Coturnix japonica: one gene and its partner. The protein of the gene in region 1 interacts with the protein of each later gene in a pairwise test. Links are inferred from orthologs where the notes say so. Each region holds a gene or a part of one and is shown in the gene's direction. Other genes may lie near its edges.

Region 1 (3,823 bases):
ACTGCCTGAGTTCTATGTAAGGAACAAAAAGGTCAAGGCTGAAAGTCTTCCCTGCTGTTCTCTGTAAAATTCACTTGCCTTTATTTTTCCTAGCCAAAAATACTGCCACCCTCAGACTTATAAAAGTGCTCTGTTAAAATTAAATAATAATGAGCAGATCTATTAAGCTACACTAATAAATAATTTCACTATTTCATTAAATGAACCAATACATTAGTTTCTGATCTTTGATGCAGAAGGAAAAGTACCTTTTTAGGGTATAAACTCAAGGGATTTCTTTGTATTGTATCTCAGATTTCTTTCAGAAAACGCTCTCTGTAAATATGTTCTATGTGAGCAATTTAACATTTTATGTATATTCTGAATGTATCAGCTGCCTGATTATTAAAACAGCTGTATGTGTTTTTGTTTTATGCTGCAAGTTCTATTTCCCTTGAGGAAGGGAAGCTGAATACACTGGATGTCAATAGTGACTCACTTCACCCAGCTGAATGGTGATTAGGGCTTTTACAGCATTTGAATCATAGCAAGATACTTGTGTCAGATTGTACAGCTGAGTATTGCGCACAGCACCGAAGATTAAAATGAGAAATGGACCAAACATGACACTGTAGCTGGGAGTGATGATATAGATAACTAGCCTTGTCCCCATTGATTTGTCTGCAGTAAGTGACAATGATCTGTTAATTTTGCCTTTGCAGCAGATAGGAAATGATCTGGTTGCCTTGCAGAAGCAGCAGCCACCTACATAAAAGCAGTGTCTACATGAGGAAGCATCTCTAAAAAAGCCAATTAAGTAATATCTCTTCCAAGAATCCCATGAGGCAGCGTGTTCTCAGTAACTCTTTGTTCACTGCTATGTACTGCACAATAGGCTGAAGAGGGAGAGTGTGTTTTTTTTAATGAATGGTAAATGGGGAGGGACATAATGTCATCAGATCGTGATGTCAGCCCAATGAATGAAATACTTACCCAGTGTATTGCTTCAGGACCAAGAAAAAAGGGACACCATCTCAGTTTGGCTTCCTAGAATAAATTGTCTTTTGCTGACGATGTCATCTTTCCCACGTGTCATGAATAATCCATTTAAATTGGGACTTAAATAACCAGAAGTGAAGAAACTCGTGGAATAGTGCTTGTTTGTTCTTTTGTACATCCTCAGAGCTGCTAGTGGAACACCCCTTTGCAGGCGCTCCTAATGGGCTCAGTGAGTTGAAGAGCTATCGCTGTATTTTGTTGCTCTCTATCTAGCCCAATGTTCTGCTTTTGTCTGCAGAATTCTTTGTTGAAGCTACAAGCGCTCGAAACCGATCTGTGCTCTGCGTTTCTGCCAACCCAGGAGGAAACTCCCCAGCTGCCGGCACCCAAGGATCCAGCCCCTTCTTCAGTCCAAACCAGTGTGCAAGCTGATGGGGCCAGTAGCGGAGGTAAGGGATCGTGTCATGATGTGCTCTCATTTGCAATTATAAAACAGCCTTGTGACTCGCAGTCTAATCTCAGATTTGCAGTCCTCTGGGAAATAGTGCCGAGCTGATGCAAAGCACCGTTTCCTGATAGAAACGCTAATGTAAAAAGGGGTGATACTTGTTAAAAGATCAGATAAAAAGAGCTATAGCCTTCTGTCTTTCTGCAAGGGAAATCTGATCTTTCAAATAGATTTTAAGAATCCTGATTCTATTCAGTTTGTCTGTTATTTATTCAAATGAATTTATGCTTTTTGTCTCCTGTGCCTGTATTGTGTGAGATCCTCTGCCGTATCATGTAATTCTATTTCTGTCGTTCTTTTTGTCAGACCAATATCACTTCATTTCTCCTATTATTGATTTTAGTTTAATGTATCAGCGGAGAGATAGTGAAGGTGATTCTTAACAGCATGTGCATTTTAATCATTCATGATTCTCTATTATTACTCATCTGGGCAAATTGTGTTGTGTTACCTCTCTCTTTCCTCAGTATGGAAACCAGTCCTTGCAATAAATAGCCCAGAGGCTCTGCACTATTTTTGTCAATTCATAGCTTCTAGTCACTGGGTTGATAGTCGTGATGCTTGGGAGAGGAATCACGGTTCGTGAAAAATAGGCCAAAGGCAATATGACTAATAAATCTCACAGACAAGTGACATGAATACACAAACACTTAAACTGTTGACCATATATGGTCCAAATTAAAGCAGATAGGTAATTAATCACTGTACAATTGACATTTTATGTCTGAATAAATGCTGGGTTCAAAAGAACTTATTTCTAAAGCTGTTTGCTTAGAATTTTCAGCAAGAAATAACAGCAAGTTATATACCTAAAAAGATGACAAATTATAGCTTTTATATGTACTTAAGTTTGATGTTTGTATTGGAAAATTAAGGGAAATGATAAGTAGAATCCAAATTATGATCAAGTAGAAGGAATGTAAAGAACACTGCATTTCCTGTTGCTTTGAGTATGGAGTTTTTAGCTTTAAAAAGGGTACTTTTGCCCAGCTATGCAAACGTCTTAATGGCTGTGGGTACAGGTATTGAAATTTCAATAGTGTTATTGCTGTGGATCTAAGGCAGACAAAGATTTATTAACTGTGCTGCACAAGAAGAGACATTTTGCAGCCCATCCAAAACCATCCTTCTGCACTGACTCTTCCTTTATGTCAAGGATGAGTTTTCCTCCTCTTCATGTAGTTTACCAAATTACTTTGTTGTGGTAGTTTGCAATTTATTGTTAGGATGGTTCATAATAGGCTTCCTTTAATTTTAATTTTAATTTTAATTTATATTTTCTCATTATTTGCTTTTGCTTTAGATTGGTAGAGAACACCAACTTCAGGTGTTCTCTCTAGCTCCTATTTGCCCATCTCCATCTACACACAGAAATGTTGGATGATATGGCATTCCTGCCATGAAGTTCAGAGCATGCTCTGTCCCTCTGGCAGTTCAAACTTGTGCTTCAGTTGAAGTTTACTTATTAAAACGGATTTTAATAGAATCTCAGTTCTAACACCTGTGCTGTGATTGGTTGAATTTTCCTTATTGAGTTCCTTTTTTTTATAGATGGTGCTTGTCTTAATTCTGTCTCTCAGATTATTAACGGAATCTGATTCATTGAGTTTAGGTACAGTTGTCACATGAGACTATTGGCTTTTTCAGGTTGAACTTGGATGGACATCCAAAGACTTGCACCAGTCTAGAAACAGACTATATAGGGGATGCACAGTATTCACCATGTGTCTAGTTATTCGCTTCTGCTTAATCAATCAGGCAATAGAAAAAAAATGTACAATATTTTTAATATATCTTTGTGTAATGTATTTCATAAAATATATACATGTACACTTACATATGTGGTTAAAAGAAAGCCCAGCAGTTTGTTAAAATGACAGGCTACTTTCAGTACAAATTTTAAGGGATCAGTGGTAAATCTTGCTGAAACGAGTCATCAGTTTCCTTTTGGATATGGAAAAAATTGAACTAGAGCTGGCAAAATAAGTCCATGAAGAACTGAAAAGGGGTAATAAGCAAGATTTCTTAACTAGAAAAAGAGAAAAGCAGAATATAAGTTATATTCTTTGGATGTGAGTATACATGTGACTTGAGCAGCAAGCTGCTGCATTCAACATATGTCACAAATGTTGAAACACATTATATCAATGTATTTATTTTTATAGACAACAGATGATGTATTATTATTTCACTTAAACTAAACAGAAATATATGCATCATAAAACCTGTATTATTGATTGAAGTCCACATTATTGAGCTTACTGCCTATTGTAAGGTACAAGACACTGGCCTTGAGTCCTCTGGTGACCTCTTGCCCGTGGCAAGCTGGACTGAATA
Region 2 (4,571 bases), about 26 Mb from region 1:
TCTTTCCTTCTTCTGACACAAACAAGAGAAAAAACTCATAGAAGAAACTTTATGATTAACACAGAAGCCTGATTACAAAGGGCAATTACTAATTTTGAAGTACACAAGAAAGGCATGACCTGATTGCAGCACAGTGATTAAGATACAGATATAGATTAAGATTAGGATGTACTGATATGACCGGAAGAGCAAAATTAAAGTCACCTTCCTAACAGCAAGTGATTTACAAAAGATTTATACCAGACAGAAGTGGATGTCAAGCAAAGGTATTTCATATTTTACTTCTGTTCTGAAGCATTTAGGTTCATACCATCGCATCCATTCCTGTGAAAGCTAGGAAATTACACACCTTTGAAATAGTGGCTCTTATCCTGAATCTGAAGCATTTGTACATGCATGGTTCACTTAATATGACTCTGAACTGATGAGTTATTTACAGCATTAAATCAAGCACATATCTGCAGGAGTCAAAAATCATCAAGTCTTTTTTCAATGACCGGTCCCACTTTGATTTTTTTTTTTCCCCCAGTATCTGAAGGAATCTTTTACAGAACTGTGAATGGTGCTGAATGGTCATTCTCAGACAGTGAGAAGTATAGTTGGAGCCAGACTCTTCTTTCTAGGATGAGCAGTTCCTTTGCCACAATTAGACACTGAAGAACCCTTCACAAAAAAACAGTCGTTTCTTTAACAAGGGACACTGAACACTATCCCAGCCTAGAGCAGCTTTTTCAGTTTGAAATACAAAAGCAGTCAAGTCTCAAAAACTTCAAAGAATGCTTTTCATTTTCTTTTCTCCTTGATCCACTGATAGAGCAGTTCATTTTCTTGAATTCTGTGAAATGACTTTTTCAGTCATCAGACCTGTGTAACAAATCGCTGCCTCAATCATCAAATGCTCCCATTTGACTCATCTGCTTTTGCTTTGGCCTTTGGGTAGCAAGCCTCATTTCTGTAACATTTTCTAAATTCGCTTTTGTGAACTCTTCTCCTTCAGTTGCACTTTGCTCCATTTTAAGAAATAATTGCATTTCCTGCAACATAATGTCTTAGTCTCAGGTTTTTACATTTCACCAGAACCCTCATTTTCTGTCTTACATAGAGCAACATCTTCTTTTTAAAAGCACAGTCTCATAGCATGTTACCATCATAATGTGGTGCTTTTTAAGTAGTAAATGCCACAACATAACATTTATACAAAATTCTCTGTTTCATTCTACTAACTTAGAACAGCATTAAGGCATTTATACTTTCACATATATTGCTTTGCTTCTTGTAGTCAAAGAGCTCCTAATTTCTGTTCTTTTTTCTGCTGCAGTCTACTCTAAAGACAGTATCTCCTTTGAGGAAAACTCTAACAAGACAGAGTGTCAATAATTCTAATCTTTCACAACGTGGAAAATGCTGGAAGGATATCAAGTTCCTTTCCTCTAGGCTTTTTCTGCCTCAGAGCAAATAGGCCAACTTCGCTTAGGTATGTCCTGCAGGGAATGTAGTTAGTCTTTTTCAAGGTGTAAGAACAAATCCTGTAATATGAATTATATTTTCAACCAGCTATTTACATTTCCAGGTATTCGATCCAGTGATGTACAAATCAAAAAGCTGCAGAAGCTCAGAGCATAGTAATCTCATCTGCAAGGCTGCCCCAGAATAGCATACAACGGGCTGGGTTCAGATCCTTGTGTACAGAGCCCGACTGGGAAAGAAGTGCTGTCATTTCCCATTAACAGTGATGCAGCTGAGTTGAGCCTAATCACTTTAACTTTGTTTTTATGTAGTCAGTTTTCCCATTTTCTTGGGAATTGTATGACAATTGCAGATTTTAGCCTACTTCCATAACCGCTAAGGTTAGGCATCAATCTTCAAAAGACAAATAAATCTGAACAGCTATGTTATTAAAAATGGATGGTGAACACTCCACAGAAAAGGAAGATGGAAGGAAAAAAAAAGAAATGCTTTTGAACACCACAAGAACAGTATAAAGTATTTGGCCCTAGAGAAATAAAGTCAGAGCTGTTTGATCAAAAATCCCTGAATCCTGAGTGAGAATCAAGGGTTCAGAAATGCACACAAGTTTGACAAGATTCAGACGGTCAGAGGCCTTTTGACTCCCCAAACATCCTTCTCTTGAATCTATTCTCCTGCTCCTCTGACAGCTCATTTCCATTCGTGTGTTTCCTGGGTGGGCTCCCTCAGCAGGGCTGTGCCATTGCTCTCTTCCTGACCCAGTTTTTCACTCTTCCCTTTCCTGAAGTTTCACCCTGAGCCTTCACTTCTCACAGTCTGTGGTCATCTTTCCAGGTGGCATCCCTGCACGGTGTAGTTTCTCCCCAGAGCCTTGGAGCAGCCACCTGTGGGGAAGCTGAGACTGGAGAGCAGAACCAGGGTCTGGGGCAGAGCCCTGAGGGAAGGACTGTAGGTGGGCCCAACCTGCTCTGCCCTCCCCTCAGTGCATTCCCTGGCTTCAAGCAGCCAGCCCTGCACATTGCAGTGAGCCCTCACATACCTGCACTTGCCCACAAGTCAGAAATGAACTTGGATACATTATTCCAACAAATTCAGCTCACAGAAAAGCAGGCGGGTGAGAAGAGGCGCCTCATCCAACAAGGTTAGCCCCATGCCCGCCATCTTGCATGTCCCACAGTGTCAGTCACTGTGAAAGGCCTCTCCATATTCCGGGATCATCCCAACAAATGTGGAGTGGCACCACTGTGAAATCATGAGGGGAGTTTTGTTGGAAAAGATTTTCAGGCAGATGTTCTGGGACTTCTTGCCAGCGCTGCTGCTTTGCAAGAACAGAAGGTTTACAAACTGACCACACCTGCTTACAGGTTTTCCTTGTTTTGCAGTTAAATTTGAAATAAACAAATATCATGAAAAAAATAACCAGCTAAAAGAAGAGCTGAACACTGCAACGCTAAAATTAGAAACTGAGGTAAGTAGGAACGTTTATAGTACAGATAAGGAATACATTGCATTTATAAGCACATGAATTATTCTTTTGGGGAATCTATTTGTGGACAGTTTGAGCAGCTCAGTCTGAGCAGTCTTGGAACTTGTTATAGCACTTTTTCATTTAAAAGATGAATTTATTAGAGGTTTGGAAATCATTCCCGTGTTTCCCACTGCCATTCCTTAAAGGCCTTATTTGTTTCACAGACAATATGTGGAAACATTCACTGTATTTACTTCACAAGACCTTGAGACATATACTAAAGATCTTCCCGTGAGCCTGGGCTCAGCACTGTGCCAGGCCTTAGAGTTTTGTTAGGGACAGTCTAGACAGGAGGAAGTTTCCAAACCTATTCAACACTTTTAACATTTTACTATGCTCTCTGTTTAACCAAACTGCAGACATAGTTTTCGATTAACCATTCAGTTTTGCAGAGCCCTTTCACCATTCATACCTATAAGGACAAATGATTTAAAAATCCATTTGCTTGTGCCTGAAAAATAAAGTCTACTTATCATCCCCATGTACTTAAGTATCTGTGCTGATGGAATGTGTGTGCACAACAGGAAAGCTTATGGAGTCTCCTTTGAAGTTAGAACTATTGTGCATTTAAATAAACACCTTCAAGAAACTTTTGGGGGATTATCTCACATAGATGATTTGAGGATGATCATCATCCTTCCAAAACCAGATTCTTCTGTCATTTTTAAGGGTTATGCATTTTATACATATAAGCACATACACACATGTTGACATTGCTATGAGATGATCAGATAAAGAAATTCATAAACAAATGTTCACTGATTGTAAAATGAGACTATTATCTTGCAAGCAGTTGGTCATGTATGCATGCCACAGAAGACCTTTAACACAGTAACTTATTTAGCCAACACATTATATCTGAGTGATGTTTGTTAGGTAAAGCCCTTTGTAGTATCACTCCTACATTTATTTATGAACACTATTTCATGTTTATACTGCTAATTTGTTATTGATGCAGCGTGATTTACAATCAACATTTATGTGGAAGGTATAGAGCATCCCAGGAGTAGAGCTATTATTGTAAATGACTAATGGGAAGAGCTGAAGAACTGTTCCTAATTAAATCTTGAGTGCCTTAGCCACCTAGTATTCTATCTGGTATCCACAAAAATATGTTTTATTTGCCTGTTTATTCTGACATTGATTCATTTATAAATAGGACACGATACAGAAAATAAGTGGAATGGAAAAATGCATTTCAATCAGACTGTACTTAGGTTTAAAGGTTACATAAATATTGAAATTATTAAAAGTCATTTATTTTTCAGTACAGGAATTAAGTTTATGTGTGTCTACAATATTTAATATAATTCAGATAGCATTAAATAATGTTCAGTAATGCTGTTTAATTTATCCCACACCAAATAACTGCACTTTAGAAGCACAGATATCCAAGTGTGTACATGCACAGGGGCCTATGCCTGAGCAAGCAGATGAGCCTGAGTTCAAACTTGTTTTGACATCTATTTCACAGAGGCTGCCCGTGGTCAATCAAAGGTTCCCAGGAAATGCTATTTATTTTCTCTGTTCAGTAAAATCAGGTAGCATGTAATTAGAACCTGAATTATAGCATTTT

Evidence for each region.
Region 2: the proteins of FAM13C (region 1) and CCDC172 interact in binary tests that used the Homo sapiens proteins (3 or more experiments, as listed by UniProt). The two-hybrid records come from large-scale screens. The link is inferred for Coturnix japonica from reciprocal best matches to the Homo sapiens genes FAM13C and CCDC172.

Annotation. Positions count from the first base shown.
Region 1 is NC_029521.1:71,258-75,080, forward strand, and holds part of FAM13C (protein FAM13C), read left to right. Parts: intron 1-1,276; coding exon 1,277-1,427; intron 1,428-3,823.
Region 2 is NC_029521.1:25,610,447-25,615,017, forward strand, and holds the start of CCDC172 (coiled-coil domain-containing protein 172), read left to right. Parts: upstream 1-1,464; 5' UTR 1,465-2,529; coding exon 2,530-2,608; intron 2,609-2,849; coding exon 2,850-2,935; intron 2,936-4,571.